Linked DNA regions of Caenorhabditis elegans. The protein of the gene in region 1 purifies or fractionates together with the protein of each later gene. This does not show direct contact. Each region holds a gene or a part of one and is shown on either strand. Other genes may lie near its edges.

Region 1 (3,924 bases):
GAACATTTGAAAATTAATTTTCCTCATCAAGTTGACAGTCTGATTAGACTTGCAGATTCTGACAGTGAATGGGTATGTTCAATGTTTTGTTACATTCTCCCAAATTTTTATTTTTAGGTGCTCGTGGCATCCTATACAGTCACAGATCCAGAAGCTCAACTTGTTTATACTCTGGAAAAAGTTACAAAATCATCAAATCCAACATCACCATCTCTTCTCAAAGCATAATTATACCCAAGCCTAATCTGAAATGTTTGAAATATTGATATCATAGATAAATATTAATTTTTCAAAAAAACCCAAATACTATGTAATCCCACGCAAAGTGAAATAATGCCAGAACAATAATTCCAATGGATAGTTTGACAGCCCAAACTAATAGATAAATCACACTCCTGAAAGCAGCTTTCAAAGTTCTAAGGCTAAACTTCCGACGTCCTTATAGCATCTCTCTTCATGACGGTTGAGATTGCTTTGTTGGCTGAAACGTTAGTTAGGGAAACTGCAAAATAATTTAACACACGAATCGGGTAATATTTAATATTCTTTATTTATCCCGTTATGTTTGTAATTTATGGCTAGAAGATTGGCTAGTTTTGAAAATTCACAAAAAAAAAGTCTAAATACATTGGATCTAATGAATACATTAAACACTGGTGAGTCTCGAGAAAATACAATAAAAAATTGCAATTGAACAGGTGGTTTACAAATGTAGAGTTATAAAGGGGTAAAAATGAGGAGTTGCCTAGACGCCGAAGAACGTTCTGATCATTGTTTCTGCAGCCAGACCAGGGGTGATTTTTCCACTTCGAATTTCATTTTCCAGTTTCGGTGCCTGTAAAATTGAAAATTTAGAATTTATCAAACAGTATTTTTTTTTAATTCAGTATTATATTTTTTGCAAATTCTTTTGAAATATCGTTTTGATGGTGTATTTTAAGAACAAAAACGTACCAAATGTGCTATTTTCGGATGCTTTTGGAAAACGGACATAATTTCGTCTTTAACATGATTCCACATCCATTTTTTCATTTGATCCTGTCGCCTTCTTTCCAAATCTCCTGATTCTCCGATTGTATCCCAGAATTCGTACAAACTCGAACAAACTTCTGATACAGATTCTTTATCCATAATTGAGGATCTCATAACTTTTGGACGCCATACATCGAGTCGTGGTCGCATGAATTTCAACGCGGAAATGTATTCAGCCTGTGTCATCTTGGCTTTCGCTTTCAAATCTCCATCATCTTTCGTCACAACCAACAAATCACTCATCTCCATAATACCTCGTTTAACACCTTGCAATTCATCTCCATGAGCAGGTGACAACAGAAGACACATCATATCACACATATCGGAAACGGATGTTTCAGATTGACCTACTCCAACAGTCTCAATGATAACAATATCGTATCCAGCACCTTCGCAGAGGATCACAGCTTCATGAATTCCACGAGTGACACCACCGAGCGATCCAGAAGTTGGTGATTGACGAATGTAGGCTTTGGGATTACGAGATAATTCTTGCATTCTTGTAAGATCTCCAAGAACAGATCCTCCCGTCATGGCACTAGTGGGATCAATTGTTAAAACTGCAACTTTCTTTCCTCGATTTTCGGTTAATTCTGCTCCTAATGCTTCAATGAAAGACGACTTTCCTACTCCTGGACTACCAGAGATTCCTACTCGAAATATCATAGAATCTCTCCCGAATTTCTTGTATTTCTCTCGTTCTTCATCTAAAACCATCTTCAACAACATATTTCCTTGTGCTCTTTTTGTCGGATGGCGAGATTCAACTAGTGTGATTGCAGAAGCCAGGGCAGCTCGACTTCCGCTCATCAATGATTTGAAAAGTTTCTGCACATTTGGATCATCATATGTGACAGAGTCATCCCAATGAACACGAGAATATTGTTCTAATAGATTATCAAATGGCATTGATTTCTGAACTCCAGTGACTGATGGAATATAGGGTTTTGGAGTTGAAGATACTGCTAACGATGCGTGTCTGAAAATTCTATTTTCTTGATATTAACGATAATAAATCTCACCTACAACTAGCTGAAGTGAGTCTGGATACCCGAAGCAATGATCTTACTACCATCTGAAACAATAAGATAGACTTGGTAAAACGCATAGTAATAGAAATAAGAGATATCAAGTGTTGAAACGTTTCAATGATCAAAATAACAAAACAACGATGTTATGTAAACAATTGAATTCATTCGGTTTTAGTCCAATTATTGGTTCTGACAAGGAAAAATTAAATATTTTCGAAAAATGATGGTTGGTAAAGTATAAGGGGGCATGGGGAGATCTAAAATTTCAAACAAAATTTCGATTTACAAGTTAGTTATCATTGGGGAACAAGGGAACAATAAAGATGAACTCGTTTTTATCGTTAAAGAAGAATTAATAACTAATAATTAGTTATTTACAGATTTTTGTTCAGTGGAAACGGGATCGAATCGATTTACATAAGATCTTCCACTCCACGTGTCTCTATCAGAAGTTTATCCCAATCAATACTCGCATTGAAGACTTCCTGTTCAAGCCACTTTTCGTAATCTTTCTTAAAATGACGTCCAAGTTTCAGATTTGCACCAAGAACAGAGTGAGCACACGTGTCAACGGGCTCAAAATCTCTCATATCAACTCGATTCAGGTAGTCGTCACCAGGCATTGGAGCATCATTCACTTCTGAAAATTTAATTTTTGTTGCTATAAGCTTTTGTTATTTTAATCTTACCAATAGCAAATTGAGGATATAATGCCGAATATCGTCTACTATGGAATCTTTCGATGCTTGCTTTGATCAAACTGTCTTCTTTTTGATAATCACACTTTCTCTTGATATCAGAAGCAAACGCCCAATCATCGGTCATTCGATGTCGAACTCTCGAGTAGATCGCCGAAATTATGTCCATATTACTTTTTCTCCACTGGCGTCCAAGGTATCGTGATTGCATTTTGATCGCTTTCAGCACGTAAAGTTGTAGTACCGATACTCGTACTTTGAAAAGTCTCTTCAAAACTGGAGCAGATTTGAACACCATCAGCATTTTAACTCGATCGTTTTTAGCTTTGACCAATTTGTTGAGTAGACGAATGAGATTGATTGCGAAGAAAACATTTCGCCACATGAAATACGGGCCAGCGCCAGGTGGACGTGGTTCTTCTATATTGTCTTGAGTCAAAATTGGCCATTCTTCTGAAAAAGGAATACGAAAAATTTAGTTTGGAATAATTAAGACTCACCATTATTTCTGACATAATGGTACAAACATTGTGGATAGTTGTAGGCGTAGATTTCATGTCTTGATTGGATTAATTTGTTTGTGTTCTGTAACAAAATGAAATGAAAAGCAGAAAGAAGAATCTGATTTTGAAGGGAAGGGCTTCAATTTTTAAAGTCTGCACGTATATTTCACATGCCACTCATTGAAGAATGAGAAACGCAGAGAAAAGGGTGGGGCGATGGATAGATCGAGCGGCAAATGAACTTTGGTGAGGCAAGATCGCTTTTGGAACTTTGCAAAAGAGCAACAAGTGACATACCTGATCGAGAAACTTTAAAATCAAGGGAATTCCATTCACATATACAATCTGTTGGCAAATGTATTCGAATTGATAAATGTGATTCAGCTTGAAGTGCTTAACTAGCAAAAGAAGAATTGCTGATAGTGATTTAACGATAATCTCTTTATGGCGGTTGATGTCAATGGCAAGTCGGAATCCTTCCTCCAATGGAGAAGATGTTGAATTATCGAGGGATATTGAGTTTGATAAAATATCAGATGCTTCCATTTCAGGCGTTAAGCAATCAATCAGTACATTTAAACCTTCATGTCGTGCTTTCGTTGATGGCACTGACGAAACCATAACCTTCACCAGAGCACAAATATATTGACTCAAATTTGG
Region 2 (5,009 bases), on another chromosome or scaffold:
GGTAAGTTGTCTTATAAAAAAACGGAAAATTGTTATTGAGACTGAAATAAGTGGCCCGACATCCTCCGGGTTCCACGCCTCACCATCAAAAACCCAAACTCAAGGTCGGGCCATGCACATACAATTTCCAGACGCTTGAAACATTCCTTGCTCGACCAAGCTTTATAATTCTCACTGCTCCACCAAAAGATGCACAAAATCCCAAGGTCTATATCGATGTCAAATTTTTGATTGACAAGTCCTACGGGGAGTTACTAAAGGCAAGATATTTCCAGCTAGTACAAGCTTTAACTAAAGTTGTGTACTTCAGGGCATTGAAACACCTATTCAAACGTCGAATATTTTGAAAAAGCTGGCTTTGGGTTTACAGCAAGTCCGGGGGTCTCAGAGAAAAGTAACGAAACGGCTAGAAAAATTCGGAAAAGATGAAATGTTTGCAATGTGGGAAAATGATATGCTGAAAGTTGCCAAGTGGTTCACCTACTTTGAAGATTTTCAACAGTTTTCTTCGGAATTTCAGGTAAAGTTTAAAAATTTTGCAATGTTTTGTGTACAAATTACAATAAAAATATTTTTTTATTTATAAAAATAAAAATAAATAAAAATATTTAGATAGAGATTATTAAAAAAGTTTGGATTGTCTGGAATGGTTTGGAAAAGCTGGCAACTACCGCCAAAATGAGAAAGCGGATGAATTGTGATGATATTCTTATGGTATTACAAATGGAAAATGATCTAGTGGCTTGTGGGAAGTCGGTAGAGTTCGACTTATCTTGGTGCTCAAATTACAAAGCGGAGCAGTTTGCATTGTGAGCATTATTTTAAAAAAATTAAATCATTGCCTATATATTAAAAAATAGTGTACGTCTGTTGACTACGTCATCAATGGGCGGAGCCTCTCCATTTGTGGCGAGACTCATCGTTGCGAGTCCCATCGTGGCGAGACGCATCAAAAGAAAAATATTTCGGCAGGAAACTGAAAATTTTCTAAGAATACAATTTTGGCGAAAAAATTAAAATTTCTGAGAAAAGTTGTTAGCGGGTCTTTCCAGAAAAATCTTGAAATTTCTAGAAAAATCTGGAAAATTTTAGATTTTTCTGGAAACTTCTAGAGTTTCCTACAATAATCAGGAAACTTCTAGAAATATGTTTAGAGTAATACAAACTTGAAATTTTGATTTTGTTCTGAAAATTAGCTGAAACTTAATTTATAAAATTGAATTAACCGAAAAAATTGACTGAAAAAAATTACCCGAATTTTTAGTTTAGTCTCAATTTGGCGGCCAATTTAAAAATGTTTTTGAAAAATCCAATTTCACTCTACAACTCACCAACTTAAAAACGTAAGACTTGAAAATTCATCAATTTTGTTTTACGAACTTTTCGAAAAACATTACTCTCTTACTATTTTTTCAGCATCGATTCAAATTGGAACAAACATGAAGAGCTGCTGGAATTGATGGTACAACTCAACCCAACAGATGAGGAACTTTGTTACATGCTATGTCATTTGTGTTTCCAACAAATTAGCAAACAATGTGACGGGCAAATACTTGAAGCCGTTGAGCAATTTCAAGATTCTATATCAAATCATTTACACGACTATTACTTGAACCATTTGTCCCGCCCGAATTATTCCGGAAGGATTGCTGCTTTGATGAAGCTTAATAGTATTGCTCAGGTATTTTATATTAAACCTTGTCTGGAAAAAACTCTGAAATTTCCAGCAATTCATCTACCAAGACCAAATAAATGTGGAGATTTTGAAAGTGTTCGAAGTGTTTTTTGTAAACTTTTCCCATCCGGAATTATTTATGAACTACCAATAACGAATTCATAATCTGTAAATAAACACCTATATTCTTGGCACATTTTTGCTCTTTTTCTAAAGTACCAAGTGCTCTTCGCACCTATTGTTTGCACTACAAACTACACTATATTATTCCACATCAGACATTTCTCGTAGAGTCTGCGTCTTCTTTTAAATTTCTCGTCATATGCTCGGAACTACCTTTACAACTTTTTTTAAAATCGGAGGTGCTTGTTTTAATTACTTTGAAAAATGACGTTATCTATTTTTTTTGAATCGTTAAACTTTTCAAAAAATATTATTTAGATTTTTCGTTTCTGAAAGAAAATTTGTTTGGAAAAATGTAATTGTTCTTGTTCGTTGACATTATTTTTAAACATACACAAAATCTCAAAATAGTTTTGAAACTTTTTTTTTTTGGATTTTTGGATTTTTAAAATTTTCATGTGTCATTTTGTTATTTTCAGCATCAAAAATTTCAGCTCATTTATGGAAAATCCGATTTTTTTTCTAAAAAAACCTGAATATTTTATTTTGTTCCCCAGCACTTTAGGATATTCCCCCTAAAGCAAGTAAGCTGTGTAAATACTACCAGGTCCATTATAACACCCGCAGAATACCCGAGAAAAGTCGGCAATTGCAAACATGTGGGGAAGAGACCAAAGAATCAATGTACTTTCTTTTGAATGCGTCTGTGTTTTGATGAGTTGAATGACGGAGACGATGACCTTATTCGATTAGAACCACATGGTTTCGCACTCCTGTTATTAGTGAAATTATGTCCGAGAGTATTTGGATTTGAGAGATTTATGTGTTTTTAGATGGGTCATTTGAAGAAATTTTTTATTTTGTTAAAAACTCATGTTAATGCTTTCTTAATTTTTTTGTCATTTGAAAAAAAAAATTTAATTTTCAGAAAATGAACAATCCTTGCTCATCTTCACCCCCAGACCTCACTCTTTCAACAATAGAAAAATGTCCAGTTTGCTGGAAGCCTGCTCATGGCATGCATTTCGGAGCATTTACATGCAGAGCTTGTGCAGTATTTTTCAGGTGAACTCTTAATTTGTAAAGCATCCCCTAGTCAGCTCATAAATTTCAGAAGATTCGGAGCTTCAAACAATCTCAAACCATGTAAAAAGAACAATGTTTGCAATTTTGATAAAAATGGATATGTGAGCTGTAAAAAGTGTAGATTACAACGGTGTTTTGATATTGGGATGAAAATTGATAGTCAGTAGAATTTGTTGGTATACGTCTCAGCAGTTTTTATTTTCAGATTTTCAATTTGAGAGGGACCCGTATAAGCAGAAGCTTGAAATGCAGGCGGCTTTGAAAGTTATTCGGAACATACCACAGGTAAGTTTTTGAAGAATTTTTAGCACTTGGCAAAAATGGTCAATGGGCTGTGACGTGATAGTGCAGCCTAGAAATTCAATCATTTCCAGACCCTAGACACCTTCCTCGGCCGGTCCAGTCTCATAATGTTCACCGCTCCATCTTTTGATGACTCTCCAACGGAAGTTCACATTGATGTTCGATTTCTCATTGACACTGCGTACAGGCAGCTTTTGAAGGTAGGAAGCTTTTTTTTTAGTTTTTCACAAAAAACTGATATTTCAGGGTCCCGAAACGCCAATTAAAACTCCAAATGCACTGAAAAGGCTTGCGATTGGGCTACAAAATCTTCACAGTGCTCAGGAGAAACCAACAAAAGTTATGGAAAAATTCGGGAAAGATGAGACTTTCGCAATATGGGAGGACGATGTGCTGAAAACTGCAAAATGGTTCTCCTATTTTGATGATTTTCAAAAACTTCCCAGTCAATTGCAGGTAAGATTATTATTTTTTCAATAATGATAATTTGTTGAATATACAGCTGGACATTGTAAAAAAAGAATGGCTTGTTTGGAGTGGATTGGAGAAGCTTGCAGCACTGGGAAAAACTAGAAGACAAATGATGTATGAAGACTTTGCATTTGTACTTCACGTGGACAATGAATTAGTGGCGTTTAAGAAGACGATTGAAGTTGATATATCATGGTGTTCGAATTATAAACTTGAGCAATTGGATTTGTAAGTTTCATGTTTTCATGTTTGAAATTACGGATTTCCAATAGTTGCTCCCAAAATTAACCTAAAACTAAAAAATTAAAAATTTCCAGCTTCGACTGCAACTTCAAAGAACGTCACGAACAACTAGTTCAGCAGATTGTAGCCCTCAACCCAACCGACGAGGAATTGAGCTTTATGCTATGCTATTTAAGCTTTCAACATTATATGAAACATTGTCCGAAGCACAATGTGGAAATAGTAGAACAACTTCAAGACTCCATATCAAATCATCTACACGAATATTATTTGAACCATATGAGCCGTCCGAATTATTCGGGGAGAATTGCCGCTATTATGAAGCTCATTAATGCTATACAGCTATTTTTGCTACATGATAAAACCAAGATGGAGCTGATGAAAGTGTTCAAAGTGTGTTTCGCTAAATACTCGCACCCGGAATTATTTTTTGAATACGAATAAGTGACTTTATTAAATAACAATTTTTATTCGATCTCTATTTTTCACTGTATAATTTTTTAAAATAATATTTTTATTGTGGATATAGAGAATTGTTGCATTTTAGAAAAAATGTTTTATGAATTATTTGATCCTTTTATCTTTACTATTAGCCGTGTTTCGGGAGCGCCCCGTTAAGCTTCACCCGAGTAGAACATCTACACTGGTGACACAAAAGTCGGCGCCACAGATTTCTGTCTAGCGATAATTCTAAAAATTATAATCGATTCAAACAAAGATCCACCGGTTCTCGGGATCGCAGTTATTCCAGTTTTCAAATTAATTGATGGAAAATACGCCAATACAAGTACCGGTAGAAAATTGAAAATGATGATAATAATGCAGTCAAGAAGTGCGATTTGGGTGGCCTGAAATAAATTTATTAAAGAGTACAGGTCTTGCAATATTTCTATTTTCTAACTTTTGAAATCAACTTGCTACTTTGATTGAACACCAAAAAATTGCAGACAAAAAGTCGAACGAACAAAATAGTGGATAAACTGCTAATTACAAAAAATACCACTTGCTCATGAACCATCCAATATTGTAGGTAACATTGATTTACCGTACACTGGAAATTCTCGCAGTTCACTGGAACGTCAATTACGTTCCCACAGTAGCCGAATAG
Region 3 (4,597 bases), on another chromosome or scaffold:
CAAAAATTACATAAATCATGTAAAAATGCTGATTTTATACCAAAAATTCACTAAAAATAAATAACACGCACTTGTTAATTCGGAGCATCGTTGTTTTAAACTCTAAATTTTTTTTCCAGAAATTTGATGGTTTTCCCAGTTTTTCAAGCATATTTCATGTTTTTTGGTGCCTTTAACGCTTCTGAAAAATTTTAGATTCTCGAAATTCCATCTTACAATCTCTCGATTGCTCTGAAAATCTCAAAAATCTCAAGATTTCGTATAAAATAGGATTTTCCAGGGTAAATCACGCGATGCCAATGTACAAGCTGACACCGACGTTCCCACCGAATTTTGAGGTTCATCCGAAAATCGCCTGCTATCCAGTAGGTTCGTATCATAATCCATCTTTCGGAGGAGTCGGGCCTTCTGATGCGGTGCAGGTAATAGACGGATTTTGGCTCAAAAAAAACTGAAATTTCAGGTAGAATCCGATCCGCGCAAGGCTTTGGAGCACAAACAGCTCTCACTGATCGAGCAGCTCAAAGCACAGACCGAAGAGCTCAAGAAGTTGCTGGTAAGCCTTGGAGAGGCTGGAAAAGCAGAGAGATCTGCTCAAAAACCTGCGGAAAAAGCGCCAAAAGAGCCTGAGAAATCCGCTGGAGCAGCCTCTTCAGCTCCCGGAGTCCCCGGAGCCCCCGCAAAACTAGACAAGGACGCCAAGAAGGAGGCTCGCAAGGCTGCCAAGGCAGAAGCCGTAAAGAAATTGGCTTCCGGAGAGGCTCCACCACAGAAATCCGCGAAAAAGACCGTAAATTCGACTCCATGGACCGTCCAGGACGACCGAAAGACGTGGGAGACCAATCTGACTCTCACCGTGAATCTCCCAACCTCCCTTGTGGCCTACGAGCCGCAGGAGCAGCTGAAAAACGCCACGCTGACAGTGCGGGACGTGGATTTGCCGTGGGCTCGGGCTCTCGCAAAGGTCGGCGCAAGCCGTGGAGTCTCGTTTGAGGGAGAAGTCAAAAATCAGACGAAAGAGAAGAAATCCAGTCTGAAAGTTGTGAAAGGTGCGGGATTTTTTCTCTAAAAATCAGAATTTTATGATATACCCTTAATTTTCAATATTTTCAGGCCCTGCTCCCTCCCTGCAATTGGAAAAAACTACCGTCAAATCCCTTCAAACTATCTGGAAGCTGTTGGGCTCTTCACTCGGGCTCTTCTCTAGACGGCCACAACAAGTGCTCAGCGCCAGTCATCAAGCGATTTGGCTGGGAAAAGTAGGAAATTTTAGAAACTTTCCCAAAAAAATCAAATTTTCTTTCAGGCCGAGCAAATCCTTGCCGGCTCCTGTGATCAGAGCTTTGTCACACGTGAAGCTTCTCAGTTCCTGGCTCGTTTCGACTCGTTAAGCTCTCAATGGGAGGTGTGTGTCGCTGATATTGTGTTCAGAAGCCTTCTGAACCTTGGGGAGCACCTTCCGAACAATGTGGAGTTGTGGGCTAAGAAGATTGACGCTTTGATTGTTTAGATTTGATTTATTGATGTTTTTATTTGATTTTCTCGGTTTAAATGAATTATTTTGCATTTTTATCTGATTTTTTCGTTTAAGAAACAAATTTTTTGCTTTAAAAATTCAGTTTACAATTACAACGATACTCCAAAATCCCGCAGCGCGCCCTGTTTACCGTAAATCTACACCATAGAATTTCAATTTAAATTCTGTCTTTCTTTGTTTTTTTCGCGATTTTCACCGATTTCCGCAGATTTTTTGCACTTTTCTCATCATTTTTCATCGAAAACTCAACATTTTCATCCAGGAACCAGTATGAGCGACGCTAAAAAAAAGGCCGCCGCCGAGCTAGCCGCGAAAAACCTCGCACAACTCCAGAAAATCGACATCGCCGCCAGCAAGATTCTCGACAAGGTTTAACATAGAGAATTGTGGATTTTAAAGCTAAAAATTGGTTTTGTAGATGCCATTTGCCGCGATTTATCATATCGATGCGGCGAGAAAAGAGTGGAATCAGTCGAATTGCGAAGGAACATTTTTCGTCTATCAGAGAGCTGATCGGCCATATTTTAGGTGAGAAGAAGCAAGAAAACATGCAAAAATAGCTAAAATAATCAATTTTAAACTTATTTATTTCAGTTTCCTCATCGCAAATCGCAACGATCCATCGGATTTCATCGAGCCGCTCACCCTCAACCATATTCTCCGCCACGACGGAAATTTCATCTACTTTTACAAGGATTTGGCCTCAATTCAAGCACTATGGTTCCACCAGATTGATGATGCTCAGAAAATCTACAATTTGTTGCAAAAACTCGTGAATCGTCTGAAAGGAAGCACTACGGAGCAGGCTCGGGCCGCCAAGGCCGCCTCGGAGGCTCCACAGGCTTCGGTTCCGGCTCCAACGCAGGCTCCAGCAGCTCCAGCTCAAGCTCCACAAATGGCTCCTCAAGCCCCACCAAAAGTGGATCTTCTCCAGCTCATAAAAAGTGCGCAAAATCCGCCGCAAAAATCTGCGGCAACGATCGAACAAATGCCGCCAATGCTCCAGAAGCTGATGCTCAAAGAGCCGGGAGCAGCAATGTCGGCCGATGAGCTCGAGAAGGATCTTATAAAGTCGGCAAAACCGCATCGGAATCATCTTTTGCAAGAATTTACTAACTCAACGTCGGCGATTTCGTTGGCGGCGGTCTCGACGAAGCCTTTGCATGGATCGGAGGGTGATGTGGAGTCGGATATTGCTGAAGGAGAGATTTTAGAGCCACTTGATGCTTCATTTGTCGTTGGAAGTGGTGAACAGACGCCTGTTCTCAATAAAGAACAGGTTGGAGCTGGAAAAACGTTTTTTTTTTGAGTGAAAAGCTCAGATTTTTTAGATAAAATCAATTAAAAACTGATTTTTCACGAGAAATCTCGAAAATTTACATGAAAAATCTTTATTTTAGTTGAAAAATTTTGTCAAAAATCCCATTTTTGCTCGAAATTGGAGCTAAAAAATGCGAAAAATCAGTTTTTTAACGGAAAATTCAGGTTTTCCAGCTAAAAATCTGCTTTCTCAGTGAAAATGAGCAATTTTTAAGCTTGAAATCGACTTTATTTGTTTTTCAACATGAAATTACGATACTTAAGCTGAAAATTTTAGGCCCAGGCTTAGGCTCAGGCCTAGACCTAGGTTCAGGCTCAGGCTTAGGCTTCTGCTTCGGCTTAGGATTAGGCTTAGGCTTATGCTGAGGCTCAGGCTTAGGCATAGGCCTAGGCTCAAGCTTAGTCTTGTCCTTTAGATTTAGCCTTGGGCTTAGGCGTAGGCGTAGGCCTAACCTTAAACTTAGGCTTAGGCATAGGCATAGGCTTAGGCTTAGTCTAGCTTAGGTATTGAAATCTCTTTTAAAAAAAGTACCGTTTTTTCCTAAAAATTATAAAAAAGCGGTAAAATTTCCGGAAAAAAGCGAAATTTATCTAAAAATCTCAGATTTTTGTGAAAAATCGTTAAAAATCACCGAAAACCCCCTAAAATTCAAATTTTTTCAGTTCATCTCAGCAATCGCCCACCTAATGCAAACCGACGACGAATTCGTTTCACAGATTCATCAAGCCTACGTCAGTGCACTCAATCGGCGTCTAAATATCGATTAATTTCCCATTTTTTCGACCTTTTTCTCATTTTTCTGCTAAAAATCCTAATTTTCCCCGATATTTCCCTGATTTCTTGCTGGTTTTTGAGTGAAAAAATCAAAATTTTCTCCGATTTTTTGCTAAGAAATTTTTTTTTCCGATTTTTCCTGTGAAGATTTCCAATTTTTTGCTCGAAAAATCCCATTTTCCCTCTATTTTTCCCACTTTCCATATTTTTTCAACGAATATTTTTTTGTGAATATTGTGTGATTCCTCCTGAGCCCTTTTGCTCATTTTTCCCCATAAAATTGTCCATATTTTGTTCACTGAATGGGTCTCCCTATTGATGATATCTCAAACCACACCGCCCTCCAAAAATTTTCGTTTTTTTAAATTTAAAATTCCCCATTTTCTCCACTTTACTCTAAACTCTTGATTGTGAAAAATAATAAAGGAAGTCGCGTCGAAAAAGTGCAGAAAGTTGGCTGAAGCTATCGAAAATTGTGGAAAGTTACTGATAATTGTCGAAAGTTGACGAAAGTTGTCGGAAATTGTCAAAAACGGCAAAACTGACGAACTTTTGTCAATATAGTAAACGTTTTCAAACACCGCCGACAAGTTGTAGAAAACTGCTGGCAAAATATTGCACGGATTTCTGGCTTCCCTCATAAATTGAAATGGAAGAGTTTGTCGAACTAGGCCATTTTGGTTCGGCCATATCTGGGGTAGATTTACGGCGCGTTGCGGCTCGATTTTAGTTGTAAAACTAAATGCATTTGTCCGAGTGGAGTGCACCACTTTCCCATGCGTTGTCCGGCGAGCGATTGTCAATGGAGCGCGAAAAATCCATTGAGGAAGGCCGGAACCCCGTGTATATTAATAGAATAAACATTTTCATGTATGCAAAATATGTGCACAAAAACTTTTAAAGAAAGTCGGCATCAATTTTCGTGTTGAGCCATTTGGAATAAAGATTATCATTATTCATTTTCA

The links. Proteins that work in one complex are often made in the same cells at the same time.
Region 2: the proteins of mmaa-1 (region 1) and nhr-201 fractionate together in Caenorhabditis elegans (co-fractionation; one large-scale study listed by BioGRID). This does not show direct contact.
Region 3: the proteins of mmaa-1 (region 1) and dcap-1 fractionate together in Caenorhabditis elegans (co-fractionation; one large-scale study listed by BioGRID). This does not show direct contact.

Annotation. Positions count from the first base shown.
Region 1 is NC_003280.10:7,099,057-7,102,980, forward strand, and holds mmaa-1 (Methylmalonic aciduria type A homolog, mitochondrial), read right to left. Parts: upstream 2,108-3,924; coding exon 2,055-2,107; intron 2,012-2,054; coding exon 955-2,011; intron 836-954; coding exon 746-835; 3' UTR 527-745; downstream 1-526. Other genes in the region: T02G5.3 (EF-hand domain-containing protein), read left to right, coding at 1-72, 118-228; farl-11 (DUF3402 domain-containing protein), read right to left, coding at 2,477-2,703, 2,753-3,214, 3,262-3,346, 3,562-3,924. UniProt on the Caenorhabditis elegans protein: May have GTPase activity. May also bind and hydrolyze ATP. May function as chaperone. Likely to have a role in propionyl-CoA and adenosylcobalamin metabolism.
Region 2 is NC_003283.11:463,028-468,036, forward strand, and holds nhr-201 (Nuclear Hormone Receptor family), read left to right. Parts: upstream 1-1,829; 5' UTR 1,830-1,836; exon of another isoform or gene 1,837-1,936; intron 1,937-2,714; 5' UTR 2,715-2,729; coding exon 2,730-2,863; intron 2,864-2,912; coding exon 2,913-3,043; intron 3,044-3,089; coding exon 3,090-3,169; intron 3,170-3,258; coding exon 3,259-3,387; intron 3,388-3,433; coding exon 3,434-3,643; intron 3,644-3,689; coding exon 3,690-3,886; intron 3,887-3,975; coding exon 3,976-4,345; 3' UTR 4,346-4,482; downstream 4,483-5,009. Other genes in the region: nhr-202 (Nuclear Hormone Receptor family), read left to right, coding at 1-1, 132-260, 311-520, 613-809, 1,417-1,681, 1,728-1,829; srbc-57 (G-protein coupled receptors family 1 profile domain-containing protein), read right to left, coding at 4,540-4,749, 4,803-5,009.
Region 3 is NC_003282.8:1,051,997-1,056,593, reverse strand, and holds dcap-1 (mRNA-decapping enzyme 1), read left to right. Parts: upstream 1-1,799; 5' UTR 1,800-1,807; coding exon 1,808-1,906; intron 1,907-1,955; coding exon 1,956-2,065; intron 2,066-2,131; coding exon 2,132-2,816; intron 2,817-3,520; coding exon 3,521-3,625; 3' UTR 3,626-4,070; downstream 4,071-4,597. Other genes in the region: Y55F3AM.13 (FH2 domain-containing protein), read left to right, coding at 294-422, 464-1,049, 1,114-1,259, 1,307-1,510. UniProt on the Caenorhabditis elegans protein: Component of the decapping complex necessary for the degradation of mRNAs, both in normal mRNA turnover and in nonsense-mediated mRNA decay.